Linked DNA regions of Notamacropus eugenii. The main gene of each other region encodes a partner of the protein of the gene in region 4 in a complex. Links are inferred from orthologs where the notes say so. Each region holds a gene or a part of one and is shown on either strand. Other genes may lie near its edges.

Region 1 (7,791 bases), on a different chromosome or scaffold from region 4:
AGGAATGGAGAAGAGAGAAATCAAAGCATTGTAGTTAACATAGGTGTTTTCTGGAATGGGGATTTCTTTCAGAATTCTTTACAAAAAGTTGAATTTACATAATGCAAATTTACATAAAGCAAGTATTGTCTATAAACATGTTTTGTACATAAAATATATCGTAAGCATACATGACTGAGGCAACTTTGACATATGCAGAAAATCAGCAAGGGATTCAAAAGACACTCAGCAGATAATCCAAAAGCAAACTGACTATTCTCACTACCCAGCACAAGAAAAATAGAGCCTTCTCCCTTCAAAGTTCCAACATCATTTTAACCCTACGAATGCTTCAAATATTTCAGTTCTGAGAGTCAGGCTGAGAGACATATTCAGGAACCAAAAAAAATACATACCAGCTGCTTTCTTCTTATCCATGCCCTTTCCTACACAATTTAACGCTGCTGTGACCACTGTGGGTTCTGAGAAACCCAACACCCTCTTCACTGTCTTCTCGATCCATGGCTTCAGCTCATCCAGCTCCCTCTTGGACAGGGCCATTCTTTAGAAAGGACAACAGACAGTGAGACAACCTTGAATACTCAACACAGCACCTATGAGGGAAAAAGGAGAAAGTGATTGGGAAGGGTAGGAGACTGAAAATAATACAGGTTGACATTTATTTTATCAGAAATGACTTCTCCCCCGGCTACCTCCTGCACCCCTGGGCAAGTTAATTTACTACAATTACAGATAAATTCATCCCCCTGGTAACAATCTTTGTAAAAAATAAATCCAAAAGAGAGCATCTCTTATGCTAACCCAGGGGGAATTGAGCTGAGAACTGTATTCTGGTGCTTCCTTCCTTATACTATTAGATCTACAGAGCCTGACAGATTATACAATATGGAAATATAGCAGAAGTCTTTCAGAAGTCATCAGGCTCATGCATGGCCTCCCCTAACCTCATTCTGACTGACAGAATCCTTTTCTGTGGGATCCTAATACAGGTCAGTGGGTCATGAAGTATTTATGGTAGAGTTAAACACCAATTTTATATTAAGGTTCACAACTTCTAAGCACATTCCTTTACAGATTTTTCTCTTCATGACACCATACCCTAATTTCACATAAAAACTGTATGACTGACCAACCCTCTCATAATGTAAGTTTACATGACAGACCATTCTGACAGGGTGCTTGACAAGGATCACAGAAATGAAGATGCACACCCTCCTCCTCTCCTGACTGACAATTCTTTACTTCTAATCTAATTCTTGAGTTCAGCAAAGAAAAAAGAAACCACTGAAGAGTCTTCTGAACAATAGACCTTCTCACTGAACATTCTATTAAGCAGGACTGTCATTTATATTCACACCTTTACTTGTCTAGCTAAATCAGAAGCTATTCAATGACATAAGCTATTTTCTTAAGTATTCTTCTTATATCATCTGGTATAGTGCTCAGGACACAGGAGAAAATAATTACTCATTGATTTAACCTTTTCAAATCTAAGTAAGCACATACACCAGAGTTTCTGTCCAATTTGTGATTCCAGTTTTCTTCATTTAAAAGTAAATGATCTTCTTTAGGATATCCTAAGACATCTTTTCCCTATGAGAAATATAATGATTAATGTCTTCATTTCAGAACAACATTTCAGTACAGATCTGTACAAGTTCACACTCGGAATTACCACCAAACTATGATTTTGAATTTGGAATAAAGTGGGATAGAGGGGCCTGGAAAAGAACAGATGAAACTAAAGGAAAAAGACCACATACAGGATGTTCTGAAGTATCTGAGTATCCAGCATATGTCTTGCTGAAAGAAAACTCATTAAGAGGTCTATTCACCTATCAGTTAGATGACAAAAGAGCCCAAGAGGGTCTCAATCATTTTAAGGAATCACTGAAAAAGACTATGTTTTCCTAAACTCCTACTCAACCATACATATTCCTGAACTGCGAATACAGAGAATGTTATCATGCATGGTATTAAGAGGGATCCTGGTGTTGTCAAGAGTAGGGAATGAGCAACTTAATTCCTCGGGCTTTCAGTATCCCACTTGTAAAACAGGGACTAAGACAAAAGGGTTTGCCTATGCTCAAAGGATTGTTGTAATGATCAAGTTAAATAGAGAGCTTCTTTTGTAAATACTTAAAAAACGACAAAAGTAAAAACCTTGGTCATCATCACATCCGTAGCGTTTAAAGGACTGGAATATAGCTAGGGCTCTGAACGCTTGTAAACGAAACCCTCACCACCACATGCTAGTTCATTTGATATGAAAACAAAACAAAGGGTGTGGGTGGTACACAAATCAGCTTTGGGGATCACAACTTGACATGTCACTGAGCAGATGACAACATACTAAAGTGGAGCCTCCACTAGGAAGGCCAAATGAGCCCCAGTGAAGACTCAGGGTGGAAGTTTCCACTCGGGATGCTTCCCCAGTCCCGCTCTTTTTTCCCCTTTGACCTAAGCCCCCCACCCCCCGGTTGTCCCGGGGCAGCTCACCTCGGTCCGAGCCTCTTTTGCCCTTCCCGCCCCCGCCCTTTACCTCCCTACAATCCCCGCCACCCCACTCCCCCTCAGAAACCTCTCCTTGGCCACTCTCCCTTGGGCCCATTCGCCTAAGGGATCGCCACCTCCAACTGGGCTCTGACTGCGGCCAGGGCTAGGAGGCTGAGCCCCCAGGCCCCACAGCCAGCCCCACTGGGCCCGAGCCCGCTACTCACCTCACAAACTTCAGCCCCTGAGACGGAGCCCGAACGTTACACCGGAACCGGAAGTCGGCCGACCTTACGGCTTGCCGTCGTTACCGCTGCCTCCGCCACGCGGCTTCCCGCCCGGCGCCCCTGGCACGTGACGGTGGCGAGCCCAAAGGGTGCAGAGAAATGCGAAGAGGTTCGCTCGCCCGCCCACCCGTCTCGGCGCATGCGCACGGTTCTTTCGAAGCCTAGGAGGACTTGAGATGACCAGGACTATCCGCCCACCATTATCCCGTGCGGAAAACCGGAAGTTCATTCTTCCGGAAACGGAAGTAGAGCCGACAGACGTTTCCCCAGTGCAGGAAGCGAGCGCTTTATGCGAAAGTTGGGGATGAAGTCGAAGGCTGGGATGTCTTCCCCGAGCCTTGGCCTTCGCGTGCAAAGTCAGGTTTAGTAAGCGCGGACCCGGTGTGGAGCACCGTGCTAGGATCTGGTAAAGTGTGAATAATCAAGCGGGCTTCCAGTCTTGGTGCCCTTTACTGACACGGCGCGTGGGTTCACTCGGCGGGTGCCCGAGAGGCTTTACGGAGAGCGTCCAGCTATCCCTCCTCGTCTTTAAAGTGGGGATAATGGGGCAAAGACGCTATTTAAGAACACTTCCTAGCACCGCCCCTTCCACAAGCTCGTACAACACTCCGAAACCCTTAGTGAGACAACTTGCCAACCACCATATACAAACGTTCCGTATACAGGCTAAATCAATAGAGGGAAGGCACTGGCATTGAGGAGGTTTGGGAAAGGCTTCTTGAAGAAGGTGGGAGTTTAGTTGGGACTCCAAGGAAGCTTGGCAGAGGTGAGAACATTCTGGGCGAGGGGGAGAGTCAGTGTAAATGCCTAGAGTGGAAGATGGATTACCTTGCTGGAGGAACGGCAAGGAAGCCAGAGGCACCGGATTGCAGAGTACCAGGTTGAAAGGCTGTGGTGTTAAGATGTTAAGAAGACTGGAAAGATAGGAAGGGACCAAGATGTAGAGGACTTTGGATAAAACAAATAGAGGATTTTAAATTTGATCTTGGAGGCAGTCTGGAACCGTGGTCAGATCTGTACATTAGGAAAACCAATTTGACAGCTGAGTGGATGATGGACTGAAAGGGGAAGGGGCAGAGACTTAAGGCAGGCAGACCCACCAGCAGACTATTGCAGTAGTCCAGGTGTGAGTTGATTAAGGCTTGCACCAGCATGATGGCAGTGTCAGAGAGAAGGAGTTGTATCAAGAAATGTAAGAAACAAGACTTAGCAATTGACAGGCTATGGGGAGTGAGAGTTTGGAGTTGAGGATGACGCCTAGGTTGTGAGCCTTGATGACTGGGAAGATGGTGGCATCCTAGAAGTAATAGGGAAGTTAGGAGGAGGAGAAGATTGAGGAAAAGATAAATTCTGTTTTGGACATGTTGAGCTTAAGATGTCACTGAGACATCCAGTTTGAGATGTCCAATAGGTAGCTGAGGATGAAAGAACAGAAGTTAGGAGAGGTTAGGGATAGATAAATAAATGTGAAAGTCATCTATATAGAAATGATAGTTGAATCCTTGGAAATTGATGAAATCAGGAAGTGCAGTAATTGTCCAGAATAGAGCCTTTGGGTTTCCCCATGATTAATAGGCATGCTCTGAATGAAGATCCATCTCGGAGACTGAGAAAAAGCAATCATACAGGAGAACCAGGAGAGAGAAGTGTCATAAAAACCTAGAGAAAAGAGATTATCAAGGAAAAGAAGGTGATTAACTATCAAAGACTGCAGAAAGGATTGAGAAAAGACCATTAGATTTGGCAATTAAAAGATCATTGCTAACTTTGAAAAGTTTCCATTGAATTATGATGTTAGAAGTCAGACTGCTAAGGGCTAAGAAGAGAGTGAGAGGAAAGGAAGTGGAGCCAGTGATCACAGATAGCCTTCTCAGAGAGTTTAGTCATACAAAAAAAAAAAAAAAAAGACATAGAATGATAGCAGGGAAGGGGGTGGGAGATCAAGTGAGGGTTTTTTAAGGATGGAGGAGACATGAACATATTTGTAGGCAGTAGCCAGGAGACAGACTGAAGAAAAGAGAGAGTTGGAATGATAGAGGGGGAGAAGACAGAATGGAATAAAGTTATTAAAAAACAAACTATATAAATGTTAGTTATTATGAAGTTAGTTCAAGGAAGATCATTACCATATGAAAAATCAGATTTATGGCAGAAAGGAACCTCAGAGGTCAACCCCCTTATTTTTCAGGTGAGTAAACTGAAGTTGAGAGTTAAAGTAATTTGCCTAGTAGAAAGAAAAGAAAGAGAAGAGAAGGGATATGAATTAAACTTCAAAAGTTGGAGGGGAGAAATTCCCCTTAGCAAAGTCATTTTTTAAGTACCTGAAATATCCCTCCTCGTTTTCAAAGTTTTTATTTCTCATTTGTCTGTTAATAATAGTAATTGTTTTTTGGCCCTTTTTAGATCTTAGCCCCTTATTGATGTGTTAGAATTCTGTAACAGTGAACTTGTGGCCAGGTTAGAAAAATCACTGCACCATTTGAAATATAACTAACACTGCCCCTCATCTGTGTTCTAGAACCTTAGACAAATCAGCCTTATGCTGGACCATAGAGTTGGGTACCTGTAATTCTTGCTCCTGAGGAGGCAGAGCCTGGTAGATCTCTTAAGCTGGGATGTTCTAAACCAATCAAGTGCATGAACTAAATCCAGCATCAATATGATAAGCCCCCAGGAGCAAAAGCCACCAAACTGCCTAAGAAAGTTCAACTGGCCTAGGTCAGAAATGGAGCAGGTCAAAGCTTCTGTGAAGATGAGAAGTGGGATGGAGCCCAGGAGTGGCCACTGTGCTTCCAGTGTGAGTGAGAAAGAGAGACTCGTTTTCAAAAAAGGAAAAAAAAATTTTTGAATTGGAGAATATAATTTTTAATACAAGTGGCAGTCCTTGACCATGGCGGTGTCTGGGACAATATCCTGTATATAAGGACTCAATATTATTGTTTTTATTTTTCTAAAGATATAATACAGATGTCTAAGATGTTAATTAACACATTTATTAAATATTGCCACAGTTTTAAAATGCACAAGAGTCCTAACCATTAGAAAATGAAGCAGTAATTTCTACCAGTGTTTTTCAAATGGGAAAAAAGTCTTTTTCAGTAAATCCCTTATGGCACAGGCAGCTTTCCTTCAGCATCATTTCTCCATTTCCACCTCTTTGCTTTTGTATGTCCTGGATCAGCTTCCATCTTCCTCACAATAAACCTACGTCAGTTAAATTCCACAGATAGTTATTATTTACGTATTCTGAATGATGCTGGGAATGCGCAAACAAAAGTGCCTGCCCTCAGTGGACCTACATTACATCAAGATACATGTAAAAAGATAAGTAAATCTCACGTGATTTAAGGAGAGATAAAGTACTAACAACAGTCTTGAGAAAATTTTGCAATTAAGAGACACTGAGACACAAGATTCCAAGCATGATCGATTTATTAGCAATGTAAACAGTTGCCAATAAAGTAGGGCAATGGCTCATTAGTAATCAGAAACAGTTCTGACAATCAGAGCAGCTTTTTATACAATTGAAAAGATAGGTTATAAAGAGTACCAAAAATAGTCCAGTGATGCAAAGTAAACTAGGACTGTTGGTTGGTTTAGAAGAAAGGCAAAGGGTATGCTATACATTTTGCTTAATCATACTGACTTGCAAGAGGGAGTTTTCAGAATCTATAGCAACAGGAAAAATACAGAGTTGAACAACATCCTCTGAAAAGTCTCATGCCATATACCACTCAATACCTAAGAGATCCAGTGTTCGGCAAAACATTTGACCAGGTTGAATCATCTTCCATCCATCCTCCTTATCTCATTTGACCAGGTTGAATCATCTTCCATCCATCCTCCTTATCTCCCTCATGAGACAGGTCCAGTTTGTAGCCTTTAGAATTAGGGAACCCAAACTTACAAACTCTACTACTGAGGCCTGTACAAGTAAATCTGAGTCTGACTTATAGATATTAATTCCAGTGGTTTAACTAAAACTCTTAAATATTCATCAGTGATCTAAATCTCTTACAACTTAGACAAATCTTCACAGAGGATGGTTGAGTGAACAGATCATGGACATGAAAAATTAAAAGTTGAAAGGAACCATCTAGAGGTTATCACTCCAACCCACTCACTTCAATTAAGGAAACTGGGACCCGGGAGAATTGAGATGACTTGCCCCAGGTTATAAAGTGTCAGACAGACTTGAAAGTCTGAAGCCTGGTGCCTTTTCTACTTCAGAACCCAGTGATACCTGAGTGAAATAAATATTCAGAAGTGGAGGGAAGAGAATTGAAGTCCAGACACAGGATACATTGGGTAGAAAGGCAGGAGACAGAATGCTAAGTGAGGCAATTGTTGTATTTCATTTCGGCTAGAATTTGAGTATGAAAGGAAGTAGTGTGAGATTAGGCTGGAAAGATAAATTGGAGTCAAACTGGGGAGGACTTGAAATGTCAGGTTGGGTCACTTCCATTTTATCCAGGACAAAATAGTATGCAATAGAGGGAGCTGGTGAGAGAAATGATTATTAATAACCAGTATCTTAGGGAGATTTAGAGCTCTCCTTTTCTTCCAAATTCCTGATTTTAAAAAGTTAAATCTCTTAAAGGACATTACTAATAATGAGACTGAATTAACTCTCCCTAATATTGGTCAGACCCAACCCAACTCTACAAGGAATTTAATTTCAGATGGGGAAGTCCATTGTGTTCTACTCAAACTTGGGCAGAGACGGATCCTTTTATCTAGATCAGGGCTTCTTAAACTTTTTCCACTCTCCACCCATTCGGCTCTCAAACTGTGGGTTGGGACCCCATAGTTTTAAGAAGTACTGGTCTAGATAGTCCAAGTCTGGTATAAAGATATTTTCTCTGTCCAGTGGTGACATGTCACTCTCAACCCCTCACTGAACACTCTTCAAAGGGTATATAAACTGTGAGCCTGCTACCATGTTTGTAGTCTAAGAGGTAAGGCCAAATGACCATCCTTTTATTAATAACCTGGTTGGGGACAGGGACAG
Region 2 (7,273 bases), on a different chromosome or scaffold from region 4:
TCTGATCATACTAATTAATAATACCCACACATGCTATTCCATTTCTCCCTTCTGAAACTTTGCACTCCTCTGACATCTGAAACTCACTCCTTCATTTGTATTAACTCTTTCTGCTAAACAAAGCTCAGGTTCTACAATCTTCCACAAGTCCTTTTCTGATACCTGGCTCCCCCCACCTCCACATCACAACTTATGAACACTTTTTACCTCTAAAAATTCCTTCCAGTTTACTTATGTACATGTTTTAACATTGCAATAGAACAAAAAGCTCCTTGAAGGTAGGGACTTTGATTTTTTGTCTTTCTATAGAGTAAGCACTTAAATGTTTCTGGCACTGAGTTATAATTATCTGTGTACATAATTTACTTACTTAGTAAAATTTAAGCTAATTATAGGCAGGGACCTTTCTATTTTTGTCTTTAACACATTGTTATATCGTTGACATTTAAGTGAGTAGTCTTGCTACTCTAAAACAGTAAAAAGTCAGATCCAATCACTTTCCTTACAAATAAAATTTTTTGAACCAATGAATTCTACAACTGTATATCAGTACTTTGAACATAAAAGGACCCAATGATTTTTGCTGAATGATTAAAAAGTATGGCTTGTTAATGTTTTGGATATTTCATAACATATTTCACAAGTATACAGTTAAAAGGGAGAAAACATGCCTTTACTTACGCTGTAAAATCTGCAGCTGCTGTAGCTGCTTTTGTAGCATCTTTATTCAATGTGGCACCCCATACAGCACCCTTATGACCCAAAAATGTTCCAATCCAGTCTCCTGTATCTCCTTGGCGTAGCATAGGCTTACCATCTAAACAAATTTTTAAAAAGTGATTAATAAGTGTTTCAGTAATCAGTGTTATATTCCTAAAAATTTGGGAGTTAAAAGTTCTCAATAATTACACTGACATAATGAACTGCCAGAGAAGAAACAATTGCTCTATAATTTAATTTTAGAGCTGTGTGAGGAACTGAGAAGTTAGGTGTCTCTGGGCAAGTCACTTCAGCATCTCAGGCAACTTTCTGGGACAAAGAAGCCACCAAATCTCCACCAGTAAACAAGTTCTTCACCTGGGAGCCCTCTATCTGGAAGAGGTCTCATAAGGAAAAAAAATGTAACTGTGGAAATAATTTGCCAATCTCACAATTAAATAAAAGAGCTAGGTAAAGTCATGTGAGAAGTCCAGCAAATCTTCAAAACTACTCTCAAAGCAAAAGCTTGTAAAAAAAAAAAAAAAGAAATTACAAGATTTTTATCATGAAACAGACATAAATGGTATGATTAACTTAACTATTAATTTGTTACATCCAATTCAAATGTAAAACCTAAGGCAATAAATGAAAAGTATAAGACAGCAAAAAACCAAAAATCACAATGTATTTGCATTTATATATGGACCTACTGAGTATTTTAAAACATAAATGATTACAGAAAGAATTATCAACCATAATTGGATAACAGCTGAAAATGTATTTTAAAGTTGAAAAAAATATTCAACATAAAATTGGTAATTATACTTCAAAACAGAATTTCCAAAAGCTTTCATGCTATATATTTTAAATTGAGGCAACTCTTCATATGTTCTCCTCCAATACCTCCTACCGATGTGGGGATAATCTTTCACATTCCAAGATTATGACAACAGTAAAAGCATGGACTTGTCTACTCTAGATCTAACCTGGCCTTTAATAGCCCATTAGCACACTTAAGAAATCAGGTTGGCCACCCCAGGTGGTAAATTTCTTGAGAAGCATGGAAGGGCTCACTATTGCCAGTTGGGATGAAAGGAGTCCTCCCCTATGATAAAATTATGGCCATTCTGAAATGTTAAATATTTGATCCTAAGTTTTAATACATCTTTTAGTATGAAAATTCACTAAGTGGACTCCTCGATTCTACGTCCTGGACTCCACAAATCATGTATGCGATATTTCCTTAATAGTTTGTGAATACACTACAATACAAAAAAAAAAGTGGGGGGAGGCCTTTGACTTTTGAGGATCTAAAGCTTAGCCTATGACTAATAGACATGTTGTAATCTTTAAGTGGGGCAAAATCATAAAAGATAAAAAAAAATAAAAAACCCAAATTGTAAACTTGTTCCAAGTAACTTGGCGAGAAAGTTGAGGTAGTTTGCCTAGCCGATTCTTAGCCATGTGCCCACAGCAAACGAGGCTCCTCCAGGCTTCCTCTGTTCCCCACCGAGCGGGACAGCCCCCACTCCCTAGGGCCTCCCTGGCAGGGCCCCACACCAGCACCCCTCCCCCAAGCCTCGGAATCTATTTCCAGCCTTTCCAGGCCGGGGCATCTGGACTGGCGGCAACTGGGCCCGCCTCCCAAAATGGGGCCACGGCCAAACCCGGGGTCCCCCGGAAGCGGGCAAGGGCACGGGGAGGCCTCTGGAGCCGGCGCACGGCCTGTCTCCTTCCTTTCCGCCTCCAGGCCAAGGAGCGCCAACCCGAGCCCGGGACCTCGCTCACCTTTGCAGGCGCTGATCAGGAAATAGCCGTAGGGAGTGATGCCACTGAAGGCCAGATCCACCACAGGCCGCGTGTGCCCCGAGCAGGTCAGCGGGGTCTGCCTCATCGCCATGGCGGCGGCGGCCGGGTCGGGGGGGACGGCTCCTCCTCAGCGGACGGCTGCAGGGAGGCGCCGTGGGGTCGCTGATGTCCTCCGAAGGCTGCTCCCGAGGGGCGGCGAAGGCTCCGGCCGCTCCGGGAAGGGCCTGGTTCCGACACAGGGGCTGGGGCGGAGGGGGAGGGCAGGAAGCTGGACGGCGGCGCTGAGATCTGGAGCGGCCTCCGGTGGGTGGTTGGGGGGGGGGGGTCAGCGCGGGGTGGGCTCTAGCCGCCGAGGAAGGGAGAGGAAAAGGAGGAGGAAGAGGAGGAAGGGAGGGAGGGAGGGAGGGAAAGAAGGAGAGGGGAGCGCCGAGCCGGGCGCCGCCAGCACCGTCCACTCCGGCGCTGGCAGGAAGTGACGACGGTAGATGACGTGAGGGCGTCGCTGGAAATGACGACGTAGAAAGGGCGTGGCTTCGGCCCCGCTGCTGGCGCCGCTCACTTTAGGCCCCGCCTCTGGCCCCACCCCCCGGGCCCTCCCTTTCTCTACCTTCCGGAGAGAAGGAGTGGGTGAAGGCACTAGCAGGTGGGGCGGTTTGTCTCGAGCGCTCGGGAAAGGCGTCTCCTGCCCCGCCCGTTTGGGGTCCAGGCCACCCTGGGGCCGTATCGTCTTCAACCGATTGGATCTCGACTTGAGCAGTTTTAGGGACGCACGTGTCCCCCAGAATAGCAGTCGCCCTGCTTCCGGTCCCCTCCCGGTCCGACTCCTACCTGAGTCCGTGTATTTTGTTGTATTTTCAGTATACACAATAGCGCCCCAGCTACAGTAACCGTGGGTGGAATCGCATTGTTAACCTTCTTCCCGAGGTTCTAGATCTAGAACTGGAAAGCCCTTGACGTTCCCAGGAGCCCAGGCTTAGAGACGGGCGGCTGCGGGCACGGACCGAAGGAGGGCGGATCGGAGATTCCAAGTCATCCCCTCCTTCTCCACCTGCTGCGCTGCCCGCTCATGGGCAAAAAACAACTAGTTTAAGTTTTAAAATGTATTAGGCTTTTCTTGGGTGCCAGGCACTGCGTGGAGAACCCCAAGGACAGAAACAGAACAGCCCCCGCCTTCCAGGAGCTTGACTTGGCTGAGCTGGCTTGTTCTACTTCATGTTAAAGAGGAGGAAACTGAGTAGCAGGGATTGAAGTGACCCGTTGGGTCTTGTCCGATTCGTGACCCCAGTCGGGTTCTCTTGGCGAAGATTGGGGTTTGGGGATTTTCTTCCGCTCATGTGGTAGGTGAGGAGTTGAGACCAACAGGGTTGTGACTTGCCCAGAGTCGCATGCCCACTAAGAGTCTGGGGCCAGATTGTCTGCCTGATGGCAGGGCTGCTGCTCAACCTGCCCCAGCATCAAGCTGTACTTCATGAATGGCGCATAAGGTTCTCTGATAAATAGATGAATCAAAAAAAAGTATTGATAAAGCGATTGGTATGTGATAAACAGCAAAAGTGCTGGAAATACAAGTAGAATGACGCACACCATCCCTATGCTCAGGAAGCTTAGATTCTTTCTAATGGTGGAAAAAACACACATAAGGGAGTAGCAAGAAAAAGGAGTTATAGTCTAGGGAGTCACAGAAAATATTTGTATTATGTTATCATCCCATTTGATGAGTTTTACATCTTCGATTCCAACCCGGAGCAGCTTTTATCATGGAGTGCTGACATAGACTTAAAAATTTTTTTTCAGTTTCAAATTCTTTCCTTCTCTCCACCTGTTCCTCATCCATTGAGAAATCAAGAAATTAATACCTATTATACATATGAAGTCACGCAAAACATTTCCACATAAACCGGAAAGCAAATAGTATACTTCAAATCTGCAATCAGAATTCATCAGTTCTCTCTCTGGAGGTGAAAAGGTGATTTTTCATCAGAAGTCCTTTAGAATTGTCTAGGATCATTCTGTTGTTGATCAGACTAGCTAAGTCTTTCACAGCTGACTACGTTATAAGGTTGCTGCTACTATGTACAGTATTTTCCTAGTTCTACTCACTTCACTTTGCATCAATTCATATGTCTTCCTAGGTTTTTCTGAAGCTCATCATTTCTTACAGCACAATAGCATTCCATCACAACCATATGCCATAGCCTTTTCAGCCATTTGCCAAATGATGGGCAGCACAAAAAGAGCTGATATAAATGGATCCTTGAAATGGAGTTTTGATACAATTTCATCACCACACTCCCTGATTATCAGGATTGTTCATCCTTTCTCCCAGAGGCTGTGTCTCTGATAAATCAGCAGAATCCTAAGGAGAAAGAGGGATCTCTACTCTAATATTTTCTCAGATCTAGGCTTCAGCTGATCAAGACAGACTACTTTTGTATATAGTGCCAGTTGACCCCCTCCAGTCCATTCTTACTCCATCTTTTGTGTGGGTCAGCTGGACCTTAAGATTTGTGACATCTCAGAAGATTCTCTGCAACCTGAAGAAATGGTTCAGGTCTCCCTTAACTGATAGATTTCCTTTTCCCTGAGATGTTTTGGACTATGTCTTCTTAGAAAGGGTTTGAGGGACCAAATGTGGAGTATTTTTTTCTTTTCTAATTTGAGAAAAAACTCTCTTCATCGTCACAGTGAGCTTAGAGGTGTTCCTAGATTCTAGGCTTATTTTCCCAATTCATATGTAATAGACGTGGGTAGATCTAATATAAAACAATTAGTCCACATATGATATAGACAGATATCAGAGGTGAGATCTGGAAAGCCCTATTCCATGTCTGCAAATGGAGATTATGATTTCCACCTCTGGCTTGGAGGCAGTCTGGAACTGCATTGCCAAAAGCCCTGTGAACCACAGGGAGAATCTAGTCAAGGTATGACCAGGCAATCACTCTTGCTCTTCTATCCCCAATAGGTATTTGAGGCTACAATTATATCTGTTGTTGTTCAGTCATGTCCAATTGTTCAGGACCCCATTTAGGATTTTTTGTCAAATATACTGGAGTTGTTTGCCATTTCATTTTCCAGCTCATTTTGCAGATAAGGAAACCGAGGCAAGCAGGGTTAGATGACTTGCCCAGGGTCACACAAGTAGTAAGTGTCTGAGGCTGGATTTGACCACAGGAAGAATCATCTTTCTGATTCCAGGCTCAACACTGTATTCACTGTGCCCACAATTGTATCAGCACACCTCAAATATTTGTAGTCTAAGGGTCAGTGTTCTCTCTTTTAAACATTCAAAACAAAAGGCACTTTTCCCCTTGTCCCTCTTAAGGGTAGGATAAAACTTAACTCACCCTCATCAGCTAAGCTCCCTCCCACCAAATAATAGTTATAGAAAATACAAATACAGATAGCTATTAGACCTCTATCAAAGTAATCAGTAAATGGAAATCAGCTCATTTAGATTAAAGTAGTAGAGTAGAATAAATGAGCTCTTCTGAACTGAAATACGAACTCATTTCAACTAAGGGAAGAGAAAAATGAGGAGTGAGGGCTAGGAGGGGGTATTCCACTCAGCATTCTCTAGGGCTGGTGCTAGAAATCAAAAGACCTGTTGAAGTCTGGCTTTACCGCCAGTCGGTATCTTTATTTAGATCTCCTGTCTACTATTCAAAAATTTACATTCTTTCTGGATCTCCCTTTCCATTTCTCTCAGGAATCTCTTAAAAGAAATCCCTTCTCCGCTTTATGCTCAGCAAATGAGTCATGGCTTTCTGCTGCTAGCCCCTACACACACACACACACATACACACACACACACACACATCCATACAGTCTTACAAGACTGCCCCTAAGAAAATTACCCAAAACTTGGAGCAAAAGTGGGGTTACAGAGGAAAAGTGACCCTTTGACTCATTTGGAGGTGATTTTAAGTCCCTGGATGACAGTGGAAGGGAATTTTTCCAATTTTCATAAAGGAAGGTGGTATCCCATTATTAGAAGCACCATCTAATACCATGTATTATATGTAATTTTATCTGTTCTGGGCTAGCTCAGACTCAGGCCATTGTAATGGCTAGCAAAGTAGAATTCTTGGCAGTTTTTCTAGATTGAGTTTGCCAATCAAGTGCCTTCGACTGAGTCTTACCTTTCATTGAATCAATTAAGAATCTTTGATTGGAAACAATATACATTGTATTGCTTGGAGAGACAAGCAGAGCTAAGAGAAGCAGAGAGAGAAACAGAGCTGAGAGAAAGAAACGACCATGAGTGGGCTAGGGGAATGGGGACACCTAACAGAAAGAATGTTTGTGATGTTGGTGCTCTGTCTGTTGGTCTGTGTTAATTCCTGAGGCAGAAGCCCTGTCTGTTAATCTGTGTTGATTTCTCAGACAGAATCCCTGTCTATTGGTCTTTATGAGTGAATTGAGATGAGGACATTGGTAATGTGTTATAAATATTGTTATAGCCCTCTTAAGCTTTGTTTTCTTAGTAACAAAAGCTATGGGCAGGAGCCCCTGGAGCCTGTCATTAGGCAAAAGCAGGAAGAGTTTGGAGTAGAACAGTCACCATGAGCTGAGCCAAGGAACAGGAGTTGAGAGCTGCCTGTATGTGAACCCAGGCAAAAACTGAGAATGGTTGGCCCACAGAGGAGGAGCCATGGTGTTTGGAAGTCAGCCTCAGGTCAAGATGAGAAAGGACTTTACTTGGACACTATGTATTAAATTAAGGAGATTGTTCTTACAGTGACCTAGGGGTGGATGGTGGGGT
Region 3 (7,652 bases), on a different chromosome or scaffold from region 4:
GGGTCACCTTCCGGAAGAGGCTTCTGCTGATCCTCTCAACTGTTAATGTTATTCCCAATGGAAATTATTTATATTTACTATGTATCTATTTATTTGTATTAGTGTTGCTTGTTACCCCCAAAAATGCTCTCCCCCAATCACAATACTTAAGCTCCTTAAAGGCAGGAAGGAACAGTTTCCTTTCTGTCTTTGTATGCCCAGAACCTAGCCTGGTACCTGGCACATAGGGAGCCTTTAATAAATGTCTGCCGGCTTGTTTACTTGCTTGATGAATGAATGAATGAATGAATGAATGAACAGAGGCATCAAGCTATTAAGTGGTAAGAGGAGAGCAAAAGTTTCTTTAGAGTTGTTATGCATGTTTTCTTACATTTTTCAGTGGAGAATTGCAAACATAAACTAAATACAGTTTTGGCTGAGCAAAAACACACACTTGGAAAGTCACTCCCTCTGTGTGATTGCTTCCTCACTATTAGGAGGATGATGCTCCTAATGAAATGAGTATAGCACAACTATTAATTAACATTTTGTTACAATTTTAAGCAAAGCATCATTGCTTCTCTGTTCCCACCACTTTCCATTCACCCATAGCATTAAGAGTTGGGGTCCACTTAATGCCTGACCTTGGGGAAGTCGATCAATTTCTCTGAACCGATATTGTCTCGTCTATAAAATGAGGTTAGACAAGACAATCTCCAAAGTTCTTTCTAAGCTCTAAATTCTGTGATCTTATAACCAAATGAAAGGAATCTGCTTGAAGCAAACACAAGTTCCTAAGCGCGTATTACTCCCAAACTTACCACAGGCAAATCTCCCTCCTCTTCCTCTTCTTCTTTTTCTAACTTAGTAGAAATATTTGCCCAGCTCACATCATCATCCACAATCCTCATCCTACAGAAAATAGTCAGAAAAAAGAACTATTTTCAAGATGAGAACCAACAACATTCTAGGAGACCCAAACAGTTGCTCAGAAATAAGTCAGAGAGAGGCATGAGCAGACAGAGAGAAGCCCCATTTAGTTTGCCCTTTTCCTGCAAAGCCAACATCTCTAAGACTGAAGAATTTAGGAAAAGTTAACTTTGAAAAGTTACTCTGAAAGAGACTGGGAACAGGATGGAACACAAATCCCCAACCACAACCAGTGGGCTATCTCCTACTTCAAAGCCCAAAAGTTTGGATTCCCAGCCTGAAATCCTACCTCTGGGCCTAATTCCACTGCCGTGTTTTTCACTGGCCCCCTTGGTACTCTTCTCCCCAGGCCCACCCCCCAAACACCCCCTGCCCTTTAACTTCTGAAGCATTTCATCCCAAACTTCAGGTTGGATCCTCCCAGTTCACTCCTCAAGGTCTGGGAGGGAATGAGAGAAAAGGAGTGTATCCAGGGCTCAGGTCACTGAGGAGATACAAAGGGAGAGACAAGGAACTGAATTTGGTGACTAAGAGAGGGCAACATGGTCAACAGAGAGGAAACTGATCTGGCCCAGAAGCTGGGTTGATTTGAATGGGGCACATGGGTGTCAGGAAGGAAGAGGGTACAGAGGGGAGTAAATAGGGAGAACTGTGGGCTTGGAGAAGAGAGGGGACAAGGTGGGAAAGAGGGCCATCTACATAAGGCCAGAGCCTAAGCTCATGGGAAAAAGACAGTCAGATGAAAGGAATGACAAAGAGACAGTCACAGCCTTCAGCGCCAGGAGAGAGCACAGTTGTGATGGGGGGGACCAAGGAGCCAGGGCAGGAGGAAGGCCACAGCCTAGGGTCACTGGTGCTTGCCTAACTTTCCAGTTTCCACAGAGAGCACCAGCACCCTCCCAGGCACCCAGGCTCAAAGTGCTTTCTCACCACCTGCACATCCAATCCGGTACCAAGTCTCGTCTCTACCTTTACAGCTGCTCCTGTAGTTCCATCCTTTCAGTCTTGTCTGACTCTTCAGGACCCCATTCGGGGTTTTCTTGGCAAAGATAGTGGAGAGGTTTGCCAGTTCCTTCTCCAGCTCATTGTACAGATGAGGAAACTGAGGCAAACAGGGTTAAGGGACTTGCCCGGGGTCACTGGGCTAGGAAGACTCTGGGGCCGGATCTGAATTCAGGAAGGTGAGTCTTCCTGCCTCGAGGCCTGGCACTCTACCCACTGTGCCCCCCGCTGCCCCTTCTACCTTCACAACCTCTCTGCTTTCTGGCACCGCTGACAGGCCCCGTGTCCTTCCCACTCCCGGCCATCCTCCCTTGGGCTGTCAGTGATCTCCCCGAGGCTGCCCGGCTTCCCCTGGGGACACCCCCGCCTTCACCTTCTTTCTGTGCAGGGCGCCGTCTGACACGCGGCCCCCACCCCAGCCCTCCATAAAGCTCCGGGAAAGTCACGACCCGAGCCCCCCTTTCCTGTCTCCGTATTCCTGACACCCGGGCGCTGCCCCTCGCAGTGCCCCCGGCGCTCCGCCCGCGCCTCGCCAGTCTCCTCGCGGCAGCTCGGAGCTCGAGTTCCAGGAGGGCGCTCCCGGCTCGGCCCGGCTGTGCCCGGCGGCTCGGGCTGGGGCCCCCCCGGCGCTGGGCGCGGAGCCGGGCACCCCGTGCCGCCCAGGAGGCAGTGCGGGCGCTCTGGGGCGGAGGAGGCCGGGGCTGAGCGGCTCGGCCCGCGGACACACGGACACGCGGACACGCGGACACACACACACGGACACACACACACACGGACACACACACACACGGACACACACGGACACACAAACACACACACTCACACACACACTCCCCCTTGGCTCACCCTTTCCCTCCGGCACCCGTCGGCTTCGGCCGTTTCTTGCGGCGCTTACGACTAGGCTCCGACCCCGCATCGGCAGCTGCCTCGGGCCCCGACAAGTAACGCTTCAGATACTCAGCCTTGGAGAGCGGCGGGGCAGCCGCCATGGCAGCGGAGGAAGCGGAGGAGAACCGGAACCGAGCTACGGCGCGGCGCGGGACACAAACTTAACCGCAACGCCAAACGTTCCCGGCGGGCCTGCAGGGGGTGGAGCTAGGACTCCCGGGCAGCGCAGACAGAGCGAGGGGAGCATCTGATTGGTCCCTGGCTGTGGGCGTGGCCCCGCTCCTGCTCTTGCTCAGCCCGGGGAAGCGGGCGGGGCCACAACGGCCCCAGCAAAGCAGCGGCCCGGGGTTTGGGGGAGCGGGGCGGGGAGCGGGGCGGGGAGGAATACAAGGGGGGGGGGGGGGGCCGTGGGAAGAGAGACGTAGGGGAATGAAACCGGGGCAGTGGAGGGAGAAGGACGGCTGCCCCACGCCACGTGGGCGGGACTGGGTCCGTGGTAACGCCTTTCCCTCTATTACAGCTTTGTTTTGGAGTTCCGAATTCTGCCCCCCCTCTCGCCTCTGCCCCCGTCTGCCCGTCTTACGTGTGAAGTCACGCAGCATCATGTTGCCCCCAAAATAAACAAACGAAACGAACAAAGTGTGCTTCAGCCTGCACGGGAGTCCTCCGCTCTCCTTCCCCGGCGTGGGTAGCCCTGCCCGTCATGAGCCAGAGAGCACATATCGGGAGTCAGACATGATGAGTCTGCGGTGCCAGGTGGGCATCGAGCGTACGTGCCCTGTCGAAGGAACTGACCCAGTTACACGAACGAGGACAAGCAGGCAAAGCCTGTGGGCGCACATCTAAGCTAGCAACCATCAGACCAAGAAAGGCCTCTACATCACAAGTCATCGAGTTAGTGCCATGGCAGTTTTTGGAAGGGCCGTGGGAAAGCCAGCACCCTCCATGTGCCATGGGGGAGCTGTGAATTGGTCAGAAACTCTACTGGAAAGCAGTTTGTCCCCAGATGATGCCCCCAAAGTCACTACACTACACGCGTCCTTGGCACTACTAGGCCCATATTCCACATAGCTCCTCTATACACAAGAACATTCATAGCAGCTCTTGGTTGTGGCAAAGAAGTGGACACCAGGGCTGCCCACCGATTGAGGAACGACTGAACAAATTATGATATGAAAACAGAATGGAATATTGTGCCAGAAGAAACGACAAAAGGGATGGTTTCAGAGAAACAGAAGACTTCTTGAAGTGGTGCACAGTAAAGCCAGCGGAACCTGGGGAACAATATACATAATGTTGTGAAGAAAAGCAACTTTGAAAGACGTAAGGATGCTATTTAATGCGATGACCAACTATAATTTTGGAGGACTGATGTGATAAAGCATACTGCCCATTTCCTGAGATAATGAACTCAAGTTGTAGGAAAAGACTTTTTTGGATATGACTAATATGGGAACTTGTTTTAAACCGGCTGCGCAAATCTGTTACAAAGCCTTTGTTTTTTTATTTTTTATTTTTTCAGTTTGGGGGAGGGCAGAGGAGGAGCCAGGGACAAGATAGCCCATCAAAAAAGAAAAAGAGTCACTAGAATTTTTAAATGCACAGAAGAGAACAGTAGGAAAACAAGAAAAAAATCAGACAAGGCAGCTTTGAAATTGCATATTCAATCTATTATATTATTTAATTTTACATAATAGAGATCGTTTCATTTACAGTCCTCTTTTCTATTCTGCTATGTGCATAGCCTATTTTATTTGGTGTTTAAATTCCTAATTTTTCAAAATTAATCTTTTAAAATCAATTGCAGGGATGATGACTATGACATGGTTGAAGCCCTGGCAGTAAATGAGATTGCCAATGGAAAAAATGTGAAGATGAGAAGAGACCCTTGGGGAACCCCCATAATAAGGGGTAAAGGGCATCATCATCAATATCGTAAGTAGTGTTACATAGCATGTTAGGGTTTACAAAACTCTACAAATATCTTTACACAGTTGGAGATAGGTGCTGTTATGGTCATCATTCTGTCATTGTCAAGAGGAAAGAGCTGAGAGATTAAGTGACTTGTCTGGGGTTACACAGCTAATAAAGTGTTTGAGTAGGATTTGAGCTCAGCTCCAACACTAGCTCCTGAGGTTAGTAGCCAATGAAAAAGACCAAGAACAGCTTAGAAATGTAGGCTCTAAAACCAATAAAGCATACAGTAGAAGTGATTGGTCAACAGTATAAAAGGTGGCAAACAGGTCAAGGAGAATGAGAAATTGGTCAATCCACAAGTATTTATTAAGCCCTTACTGTATTAGGCACTGGGGATGCAAGTACAAAGAGTGAAACAGATCCTACTCATAATGAACTTAGATTCTAATGGAGAAGACAATTCCATATCAAAATACATAGTAAATAAATACAAATATATACAAAATAGTGGAATGTAAAGTACTTTAGGAAGGAGGGCACTAGCAATGAGAGGAATGCGGAAATACTTCATTTGAAGATGGTGCCTGAACAGCATCATAAAGGAAGGTAGACTACTTTGGGATGACCAAGACAAAGGCATGCAAAACGGAGTTAGAGTGTCATGTGTCAGGAACAGAGAGAAGGTCAGTTTGGCTGTTTCACAAAGTGCAGGATGGAGAGAAATGCCTAAGTAGGCTGGAAAGACAGGTTAGAGCCAGGAAGTGAAGGTCTTTGAAAGCTAAACAGAGTTTATCTTTTTATCCTTGAGGCACTAGGAAGACATTGAAGTTGGTTGAGTAGGGGAATCATGGTCAGATCTACATTTAAGGAAAACTATTTTGGTAGCAGCATGTAGGAGTGGGGAGACACTTGAAGCAGAGAGATTAATAAGGAGCTGTTACAGTAATCTAACTGCAAGGTGATAAAGGCCCGAACAAAGGTGGCAGCTCTGTGACTGGAGAGGTCAGAAAGAAAAGATATGAATATAGAATGGCACGATTTGGCAACTGATTGGATATGTGATATGTAAGAAAGTTCAGGACAAATGTCAAGATTTCAATCCAAGACACTGAAAGAATGGAGGTTTCCTTGACAGAAATAGCCAAGTTTGCAAGAGAGAAAGTTTGCAATGAAAAAACCAAGTTTAGTTTTAGACATGTTAGTCTCTGGAACATCCAGTTTGAAATATCTAACTGGCCTTTGGTATCAGGGACTGAAACTCAGTGGCTTAGAGACTAAAAGTGGATATAAATAAATCTGGGAGGTATCTGCCCAGAGATGGAACTATGGAAATGGAAAAATCCATGGAATTTATTGATAAAGAGCTCTTCAGTGACTTTTAGGAGAAAAAGGCTTAGGTAGAACCTATTCGGTAGAATAGTGCTGCAAGAAGACAAATTAACTAAGTGTACAAGAGCAAGCAGATGGTGCCATGAAGTAGAGGCACCCATTTCAAATGTGATTAGTGATAGGGAGAAAGGAGGGTAGCTGAATGGATGAAAAGGCTCAAGGAAAGGCTTTTGGTTCCTATGGGAGGACCTGTCTGTAAAATGAGGGGATTCAGTTAGATAATCTGCATGGCAATTCAACTGAATTAAAAGTTGAATTGAAAATAATTTGAAGATTTTTAGTTCAATATGATTCAACATTATATGGCAAGTGAAACGCTAATGTGTCCAGGGCACATTAAGAGCATACCACTTAGGACGAGGGAAGTGAGCATCCCACCCTATTCTAACCTGGTCAAAACACTTTTGGAATACAATGTTCAGTTCTAGACACAATTTATGAAGGACATGGATAAACTGGTGAGAAGTGCATAAAAAGGCCAGCTGGAATGGTGAAGTGTTTAAAGATCATGCCATATGAAGAAATAGAAGAACTTGGACTATTTGGTTCCAAGAATAATGATCTCATAGACTTAGAACTGCAAAGAACCTTGGAAGAAAGAAAACACAGCAGTCAGGCTATGTATCCCATCAGCCCCTCTGTATGTTAGCATACATTTATGGAAATTGTTGTGGATTTCATACTGAAAACTTTTTTTCCACTTGTGTCCAAAAAACTGTTTACAATCTAACTTGTACATGATGAATTACCAAGTTTTTAAAACCATCATGTCATCTTTTATTCCTCCTTGCAGAGACTGCAGCTATGAAGGAAGGTTGGTTACCTGTAGATCATTTCAAGCTCACACCTAGTCTAACTAGGTTGATTTGTTGTGTACCTGTTAATGCTTATTACTTTTAACCAATCAGATCTTTTGCTGCATAATGTTACTTAGGAAAAACTCTTCTGGTATGTTAACAGATGCACCTAATTAAAAATATATAAATTAGTCTAAGAAAAAACTTGGATTATGAGTTTTATGTCCTATGATGGAGTTTCACAAGATGAGGAGAGAACCTTGTTCTGGATTGCAGAGAGGTAGCAATAGAATTCCAAAGTCCAGTGACAGGATGTACAGTAGAAGCAATAATTATGTAAGACTTAAAAGCCAAAGAATTATTCTTCTGAGGTAAAGTGTTTTCAGAAGGCTGATTTGCATAATATACTGATGTGCAAGGTGGATAAATGGAGACCACTTGCAGGTACTAAAATTCTTCCTGGTTTTTTCCTGCTCCATATTTTTAAAGTTAAAAGGAAAACTCTACAGGTATGTTGTAGTGATTTTAGGTCCTGGAAGGTTCTCCTTTCTGGGTCATGGTATTCTTAGGCCCATATTGCTAGTTATTACAATTTCTTTGGCAGAGAAAAAGGTGCAGTTAAGTTCCCCTCCCTAATATCAACTCATTCCTGCATTGTAGCTTTCTTATATGGAGCAGTTTCCTATTTCCTGAGGGCTACATATTAGAGTGAAGATCAAGTTATTCTATAAAAAGATTAGCATCGTGCCA
Region 4 (7,161 bases):
CCCACCAGGCATGTGAAGCTCAGGTTCCTTCACAGTGACTTTTCTCAGACTGCTGCTCAAGTTACTTTTTCTTGCCCTTCTGGAAGATACTACAAGAACAACACTTCAGTTAGTGTTTTTTGAGACTAACATGAAACGGTTTTCAGTTAAGGCCAAAGAAAGCCTCTCTTTGCTTACAGAACAATCTTAAGCCTCTTGCTTAATGGAATGGTGGATGACAGGTTTGGGTCAGTTAATTTTCCCCAAAGCAGAAAAAGATGTGATATCTGACCCTGGCTCTTCTACAGAAACAACTTGTTGAAAGGAACCTCTAAGGACAGGAAAGGGTAGGAAAACAACTTAAACTTCTAAGCAGGTTGCAAGGGAGAGCTTTTTTCTACTCCAGAATACAAGATGCAGCTAGCACCAATTATCCAGTAATCACTGTTGGTTAAAACTTTGAGCAACATGCTAGTACCAGGCATTGTGCTGGAAAAGATCTTGTTCTCTTTATACCAACTTCTTACTGAATGCAATTAACGTAGCCTTCCTATTCAGTGTTTCAAGGCTATGTCATATTTTCCTAGTGGTTTGATGAAAAAAATAAATAGTTTGATTTTTTTTACTTCCCCCATTAGTGAACTGCTTTTCTTTTTACATCTGGACAATGATATTTTTACCTGGTTCTCAGTGTGTGAAGAATGTATTTATACAGGTATCAGAAACATCACTTACAGCACATATGGAGGAATTGGTCCATTTACACCTAAACTGAATTGTGACATTTATTGGAGGTGTTCATGCCTTCAGGAAGAGCATTAGAGTAGAAATCAAGAAACCTGGGCATCCGTTTTGTGGCATAGACCTGTGCCCTCCTGTGACAGGGGACTGGACTAGCTGGCGATCCTTAAGGTCTTGTTGAGAGATGCCAACTCTGACATTCTCTGAAGTATCTGATCATTAGAATTACTTTGGTTTCAGATAACCAAGATAAATTCCAGTTCTAGTGAAAACACATTTCCTCCCATAAGACTTCATTTCTCTAGGCCTCAAACTCTTCAAATAGAATGAGGGGTTCAAACTAAATTCCAAGATCCTTTCAATTGTAACAGTCTGTTAATCTTAAGGCTGTGTTGAGGCAAGTTTATATTTAAGATGTTCTGTCTGTTGGCTTCCCCTTGCTTCTGGAATCAGAGGGAATTTGAGGTATTTCCATAGTGAACAAGGAAGAGATTGCCAGAGAAAGGATTTGTTGAGGGACTCTTTAGTGTCAGATTATTTGTGTACCCAGCAATGCTGGGCCTACAGGGGACGCCTGATGAATGCTTGTGACTGGGGATAGACCTCTAGGAATATGGCTTTTAGAAAGAATTGTACACTAATAGACCTTAGAGCTTGCCTAGGAAAACTGGGAACCAGAAAGATAAAATAAAAGTTCTCCAAAACTACTAACTACTGGAAATTATTTTGATTAGATACATTTTATCATGTTAAGGAAGAACCTCTCAACACCTATTCTAAATTTTTGTTCTTATTATTAGATGGATGAACATTTTGTATTTTTGTCAAACTAATAAATCCGTGAGGGAGAATTTATGAGGAAACTTGGACAAAAAGAACAAAAAGATGTGAGGGATAATGATCTTTATGTATAATATATAACTCATTAAAATCACAACTATCAAGGTGTTAAGAGTGGATAAATAATTTTATCTTTATAAAAACACCTCATTTTTATAGAATAATGGCAACATGGAATAATGGGTAAAGTGATAATCCGCTGACTGACAGTATTCAAAAAAGAACAGGCCAAATGAAAATTAACTTGGTACAAGTAGATTCAAAGTCTTACATGCGGGTTCAGAATATATCAAGTATAAAGTAGGGAAGGTGTAGTTCCATTGTCTATTCTGTTTAGATCATATCTGATGTATTTTGTATAATTTTGGGTGTTGCTATTTAGGAAAGGGATTGATAAGTTGGAAGATGTTTAGAGGAGGGCCAGCAGGACTATGAAGGGTTTTGAGCTCATGCCATACAATAGCTAGTATTTATACAATGTTTTAAGGTTTGCAAAATAGTTTGCCTTCTCTTTCTCATTTTCTCAACATGGGAGGGTAGGTAGTATTCCTCTGGTTTTACAAAGAAGGAAACTGAAGGGTTATACAACCCTGTCTGAGGCAGGATTCAGACCTGAATCTTCTTGATTCCAAGTCTTAATGTATTAACGTCCTGGAACAAAGGATGTTTAGCTTGGAGCAGAGAATGTTTGGGGCACATGAGAGCTGTCTTCAAGTATCTGAGAGCTGTAATATGGAAGAAGGATTAGATTTGTTCTCCTTGGCCCCAGAAAGAAGGTATTTTTCCCTCTTAATTATATAATTCTCCTGCCTCATTATTGTGATGTCCATGCAGGTGAAGTCCAAGAGGCTTCATGTTTGTCTTAAGATCATCCTAGCTAAATTCAGAGGCTTATCACCATATTGACCATTTTATAAGTGTAGTCAGCACTCGAGCAACTTCACTGGTCCTCAGTTTCCTCATCTGTGAAATGGTGGTTTAGATGCAGTGGGTGGAAGTTGCAGAGGAAATTTAAGGTTGATGTCAGGAAAAACTTGCAAATAATTAGAAATGGCCTCCCTCACAAGGTATTGGATGCCCTCTGATTGGAGGCCATTAGATGACTTGTTATGTAGTAGAGAATTCTTTTCAGATTTGTAAAGTTCTACCTACATTTGGGTACGTAAAGTCTTACATAGGTACAAAGAGTTGACTTCAGCAGGTACAAAGGTAAGAAGACTTGTTTAGATGGCAGCTGTTATAAAAAATATCTTTGGGTTTGCAAATCAGCAGTGTATGTAACCAAAAATGTTAATATAACATTGAGCTGCATTAAAATACCAATAATGTTAGTAGCTAGCAATTATATAGTACTTTTAGATCTGCAAGGTCCCTTACATGTTCTCACTTGATACACTCAACAACTCTATAAGGTAAGTGAAATCTCCACTTTACTTTTTATAGCTCTGTGTGGTCACAGAGGGCAGAACCAGGAGCAATGGGTGACAGCTGGCAAAGAGACAAATTTAGGCTCCGTATTGAAGAAAATCTAAGAAATGGAGCTGTCAAAAAAGTGTGAATTTCTCCTCAGATGCAGAGGCTATCGAATCAAGCTGATCACTTTTCTGATAGTGGAGATTCCTTGCATATATGGGTTGGACTAGATGGTTACTTAGATCCCTTTCAACTCAGGTTTTCTGATTCTGTGATTCATTGACTGATTTATTACTCTTTGGGGCATTCTCAGGCGGGATACTTTTAAGGTTCACAAAGTTACCATCCCTGCACATCCCTGGCTTATATCGATACAAGCATGGATTTTCACACCTTGATTACATGATTCTCGGGCCTTCCCCTTGTGATGTGGATGTGGGCCTGACTCCCATGCAGGTATGGCCTAGAGGGTGCATATTTATAATTAGAGGATCTACTTACCTAAATTCAGAGAGGCTCATTACCATCCTGGCCATTTTGTAAGTGTAGACAGCACTCGAGCAACTTCATTGGGCCTCAGTTTCCTTATCTGTAAAATGAGTTGGACTAGAGGCTCTCTAAGCACCCTTCCAGTCCTAGGTCCTTTATGGGCCTATGCAATGTTCAAGGGAAGTATGGAGTGATGCTGAAACGGCACACGCTGGACCTCACTTTTGATCTGCTCCCCTACCTGGATTCGACTCCATGGTACAAGATAACTTACAAGAAAATCCCCAGTCCTGTCCCAACCCCCGCTTCCCTGCCTCCTTTGTGCGTTGTCAACCCCTTGAGATTGTAAGGGCCTTGAGGGCAGGCACTGGCTTTTAATTAATTGTGTCTTTAGCACTTAGTACAGCGCCTGGCTCATAGTAAACTCCCAATACATATTTCTTGGATGGACTGGATTTAACAATGAAATAAAAATAATGTAATATACGAATAAAATAAATAGCAGACACTAGAAACAGAGGGACCTGTGTTTGAGTCCTTTCCACTAACTGCTTATCTGCCTCTGCCTCAGATAAGTCTCTTCTATCTGGGTCTCTGTCTTTCTTCCCCAAAAGACTAGACAGGTTCAGGATCCGCGCTGAAATCCAACAAACTGTTCAATTACCGGGCTAGTTCCCAGCCCCGCCCACCTGTAGCAGTGCGCATGCGCAGCAGGCTTCGGTTGGCTGCCTCAGCACGAGGCGGGGCTGCTCGGTTTGTGATTGGTTTGCCGGAGCCGATGATGCCAGACGTAAGGTGGCGTCAGTGGCGGCAAGGGGAGCGTGAGTGAAGCCGAGGATTGCACGGGGAGGAGGCGAAGGGCCGCAAGTGAAACAAAATGAGTAAAGCGCACCCACCCGAGCTAAAAAAGTGAGTACGGTGACCTGGCAGTTGGAGGGCCCGGGAGTTCAGCTCAGCCTGCACCGGCTAGTGAGGGAGGCCTGAGGAAGCCGATTAGAGGCTTCTGCTTCCCGGCATGCTCCACGTTCCCGGCCTTCTCTCTGCCCCTGGCCACGTGGGGAGGGGGAGGGGCGCGCGCTCGCGCGCTCTCGGCCTCTTGTGTCTCGCGCTCCATTCATTCTCTCCCGAACAGTGGTTATTGAGGGGCCTCAGGTTTGGGAGGCGATGCTGGGTGTGGCGGATGGATGGACGGATGGATGGATGGATGGATGCATAGATAGATGGATCGCAGGGCCCTTCAGACCTTGCATCTACCACGTTAAGATTCCCTCGGGGCTTTTTTGGAGCCTAAAACAAGTGCTTGGTGATTTGAATCGCCGTGTAATCTATTTGAAAGAATGACATTTAAAACCAGATTGAGTTTAGAGGTAATTCCAGCCACTTTATTTGACAGAAGAGTAAACTGAGGCTCGGAGAAGGACAATGACCTGTCAGAGGTGGTTTAAGTGGAGCCAGATTTCCCACCTTCTCCTTGCTCGTTGGTGTTCTCTTTTTACCTCACACGTTTTGGGGGCATGTTCTTTCTTGTAGCTTTTGGAATGAAACGGTGGAAAGATGGCAGAGTTTAAAGTGGAATGAGTACGCAAGACCTAGTCAGATAGGAAGCAGGCACATCGAAACCAATCCCTTCATTTTACAGATGTGAAAACTGAGGACCAGACCCACTTCTACATAGTGCCATGAAGTACTGCTCACTGTTTCTCTTTTTTTTAAATGTCTTGATCATTTGTCTTAACATTGTCTTTATTTCCCTGTATATCCCACTCCCCATCCCACCCAAGGGAGCCATACCTTATAATGAAGAATGAAAAAGAAAAGTGGGGTGGAGGAGAAAAATCAGGTAAAATAAGTCATTAGACATATTAGAAGAACCTGGAGTGGAATATCATGAAAGCCAAGGGTAGGAAAGATATTGAAGAGGAAGTCAACACTTAAATAGAGGCTTGATCTAGCGGGGCATGCCCCCCAAAAAATGGTTTTGGGAAGTAGGGTACCATTCGTGAACTTTGAGAAAGCCATTTTTGTTAAGTATTTAGGTATGAAAACCAGATTGCATGTGGTTGAGTCAAATTTTAGGCCTTAGAAGTATCCCTTACTTTAAGGACTCAACTATTTCCATCTCCTTTATGAAGCTTTTCTCAGTTCTCCTCAGCTTTCCCCATCTCAATTTTCCTTGTACTGTACATAATGTCTTATTCCGTTGTAGCTAGGTGATGAAGTAGAGGGAACCTTTAACTTGGAGACAGGAAGCCCCAGGTTAAAATCCAACCTTTGTGACCCTGGACAAATCACTTAACCTCTGTCTGCCTCAGTTTCCTCAACTGTAAAACGGGGATCAATAAAAGCATCTGCCTTACAAGGTTGTTTTAAGGATCAGATTAGATATTTGTGAAGCACTTAGTACATTGCCCTGTACACAGTAGGTGGCCTATGTAAATACCTATTTCCTTTTCCCCCGAAAGTTTCTTGAGGACTAGAATCTTTTGTGTATAGTAGATGCTTAATAAATGTTTTAGTGAATTTAGAAAGAATGATACCTGAAGGGAGTAGAAAGATTTAGGAAAGATTTTGTTATTTCAAGATTGGAAACACCTGAGTAGATTTATAGTTAGAGAGGAAGAAGCCTGTAGAAAGAGGTGGTAGTAATATAAGTGCCTTGAAAGCTATTGAACTGGGAGGCAGGTACCCAGTCTTCTGTGTAACTTGGACAAATCACTTTATCTCTGAGCCTATTTCCTCATCTGTAAAATAAAAATATTAGAGTAGATAATCTCTAAAATTAATTTCCAGCTCCAAATGTTAAGAGTCAACAAACTTGTAATAAGTAACCTATTATGTATACATAGTATATTAGAGTTACAGAGACAAAATTGACAGTCTCTGCCCTCTAGGAACTTAGTCTACTAGTAGATACAATGTTAAATAAGTTAAAAACCAATAATTTGAGGAGGAAAAGAGCATTAACAACTGGAGGAATCAGGAAAAGCTTGGTGGAGAAGAGAGCAACTGAGTTGGGTTGAAAGGAAGATGAGAGTTCTGACAGGCAAAGATGAGGCCCTGCATGAGGATGAGGGGCTAGCAAGGGATGACTTGTATGATTGTGTAGAAATGGGATGTAGAATAATAGATGCAGAGAATAATGGGGCATTAGCCAGAAAGTAGAGCACATAAAGGGAAATAATACAAAATGCATTTGAAAAGGTAGGCTATTGACAGCTATAAATTTGCTTGCTCAAGAGTTTGTATTCTAGAGTTAGCAGGGAAATGCTTTTTGAACTGGAGTAAGTCATGTGAAATGCTGAAAGAGCTGGGAGGGGAGAGCATCAAGGACACTTATTCCAAGGGCTTATATATCACCTTGGGGGGAAAGGGAGACTAAGATAGAAAGACTTACTGTAGATAAGTTTTGAGATGTGGAAAGAAAGGGACAACACAAACTTGCATTTATATGATGCTGTAAATTTTGCAAAGCACTTTCATGGGAAAAGGCTCAAAGAGGGCAGATGATAGTTAATGTGCTGGATGAAAACTGGACAGCAGAGAGATCTTGTCAGACTAAAACATGGGGCAGAATCCAATAAGATGAAGTTCTGTAGGGATAGTTATAGTCTTACACTTATAAAGTTAGGGGAGGAGAAGGTTTGAGCTCAAGGCCAGGATAGGGAGAAATGGTTACAGTATCTGGGTTTTTTTAGTGGA

What was found.
Region 1: SNRPG (region 4) and PRPF3 share a complex: the UniProt entries of both Homo sapiens proteins name them as parts of the U4/U6-U5 tri-snRNP complex. The link is inferred for Notamacropus eugenii from reciprocal best matches to the Homo sapiens genes SNRPG and PRPF3.
Region 2: SNRPG (region 4) and STRAP share a complex: the UniProt entries of both Homo sapiens proteins name them as parts of the SMN-Sm complex. The link is inferred for Notamacropus eugenii from reciprocal best matches to the Homo sapiens genes SNRPG and STRAP.
Region 3: SNRPG (region 4) and BUD13 share a complex: the UniProt entries of both Homo sapiens proteins name them as parts of the minor spliceosome. The link is inferred for Notamacropus eugenii from reciprocal best matches to the Homo sapiens genes SNRPG and BUD13.

Annotation. Positions count from the first base shown.
Region 1 is NC_092873.1:304,220,018-304,227,808, reverse strand, and holds the start of PRPF3 (U4/U6 small nuclear ribonucleoprotein Prp3), read right to left. Parts: upstream 3,013-7,791; 5' UTR 2,721-3,012; intron 1,594-2,720; 5' UTR 1,507-1,593; intron 594-1,506; 5' UTR 541-593; coding exon 396-540; intron 1-395. UniProt on the Homo sapiens protein: Plays a role in pre-mRNA splicing as component of the U4/U6-U5 tri-snRNP complex that is involved in spliceosome assembly, and as component of the precatalytic spliceosome (spliceosome B complex).
Region 2 is NC_092874.1:190,187,316-190,194,588, forward strand, and holds the start of STRAP (serine-threonine kinase receptor-associated protein), read right to left. Parts: upstream 3,013-7,273; 5' UTR 2,600-3,012; coding exon 2,488-2,599; intron 818-2,487; coding exon 682-817; intron 1-681. UniProt on the Homo sapiens protein: The SMN complex catalyzes the assembly of small nuclear ribonucleoproteins (snRNPs), the building blocks of the spliceosome, and thereby plays an important role in the splicing of cellular pre-mRNAs.
Region 3 is NC_092876.1:135,379,417-135,387,068, reverse strand, and holds the start of BUD13 (BUD13 homolog), read right to left. Parts: upstream 3,013-7,652; 5' UTR 2,901-3,012; coding exon 2,758-2,900; intron 892-2,757; coding exon 801-891; intron 1-800. UniProt on the Homo sapiens protein: Involved in pre-mRNA splicing as component of the activated spliceosome. As a component of the minor spliceosome, involved in the splicing of U12-type introns in pre-mRNAs.
Region 4 is NC_092872.1:631,381,451-631,388,611, reverse strand, and holds the start of SNRPG (small nuclear ribonucleoprotein G), read left to right. Parts: upstream 1-4,158; 5' UTR 4,159-4,339; coding exon 4,340-4,371; intron 4,372-7,161. UniProt on the Homo sapiens protein: Plays a role in pre-mRNA splicing as a core component of the spliceosomal U1, U2, U4 and U5 small nuclear ribonucleoproteins (snRNPs), the building blocks of the spliceosome.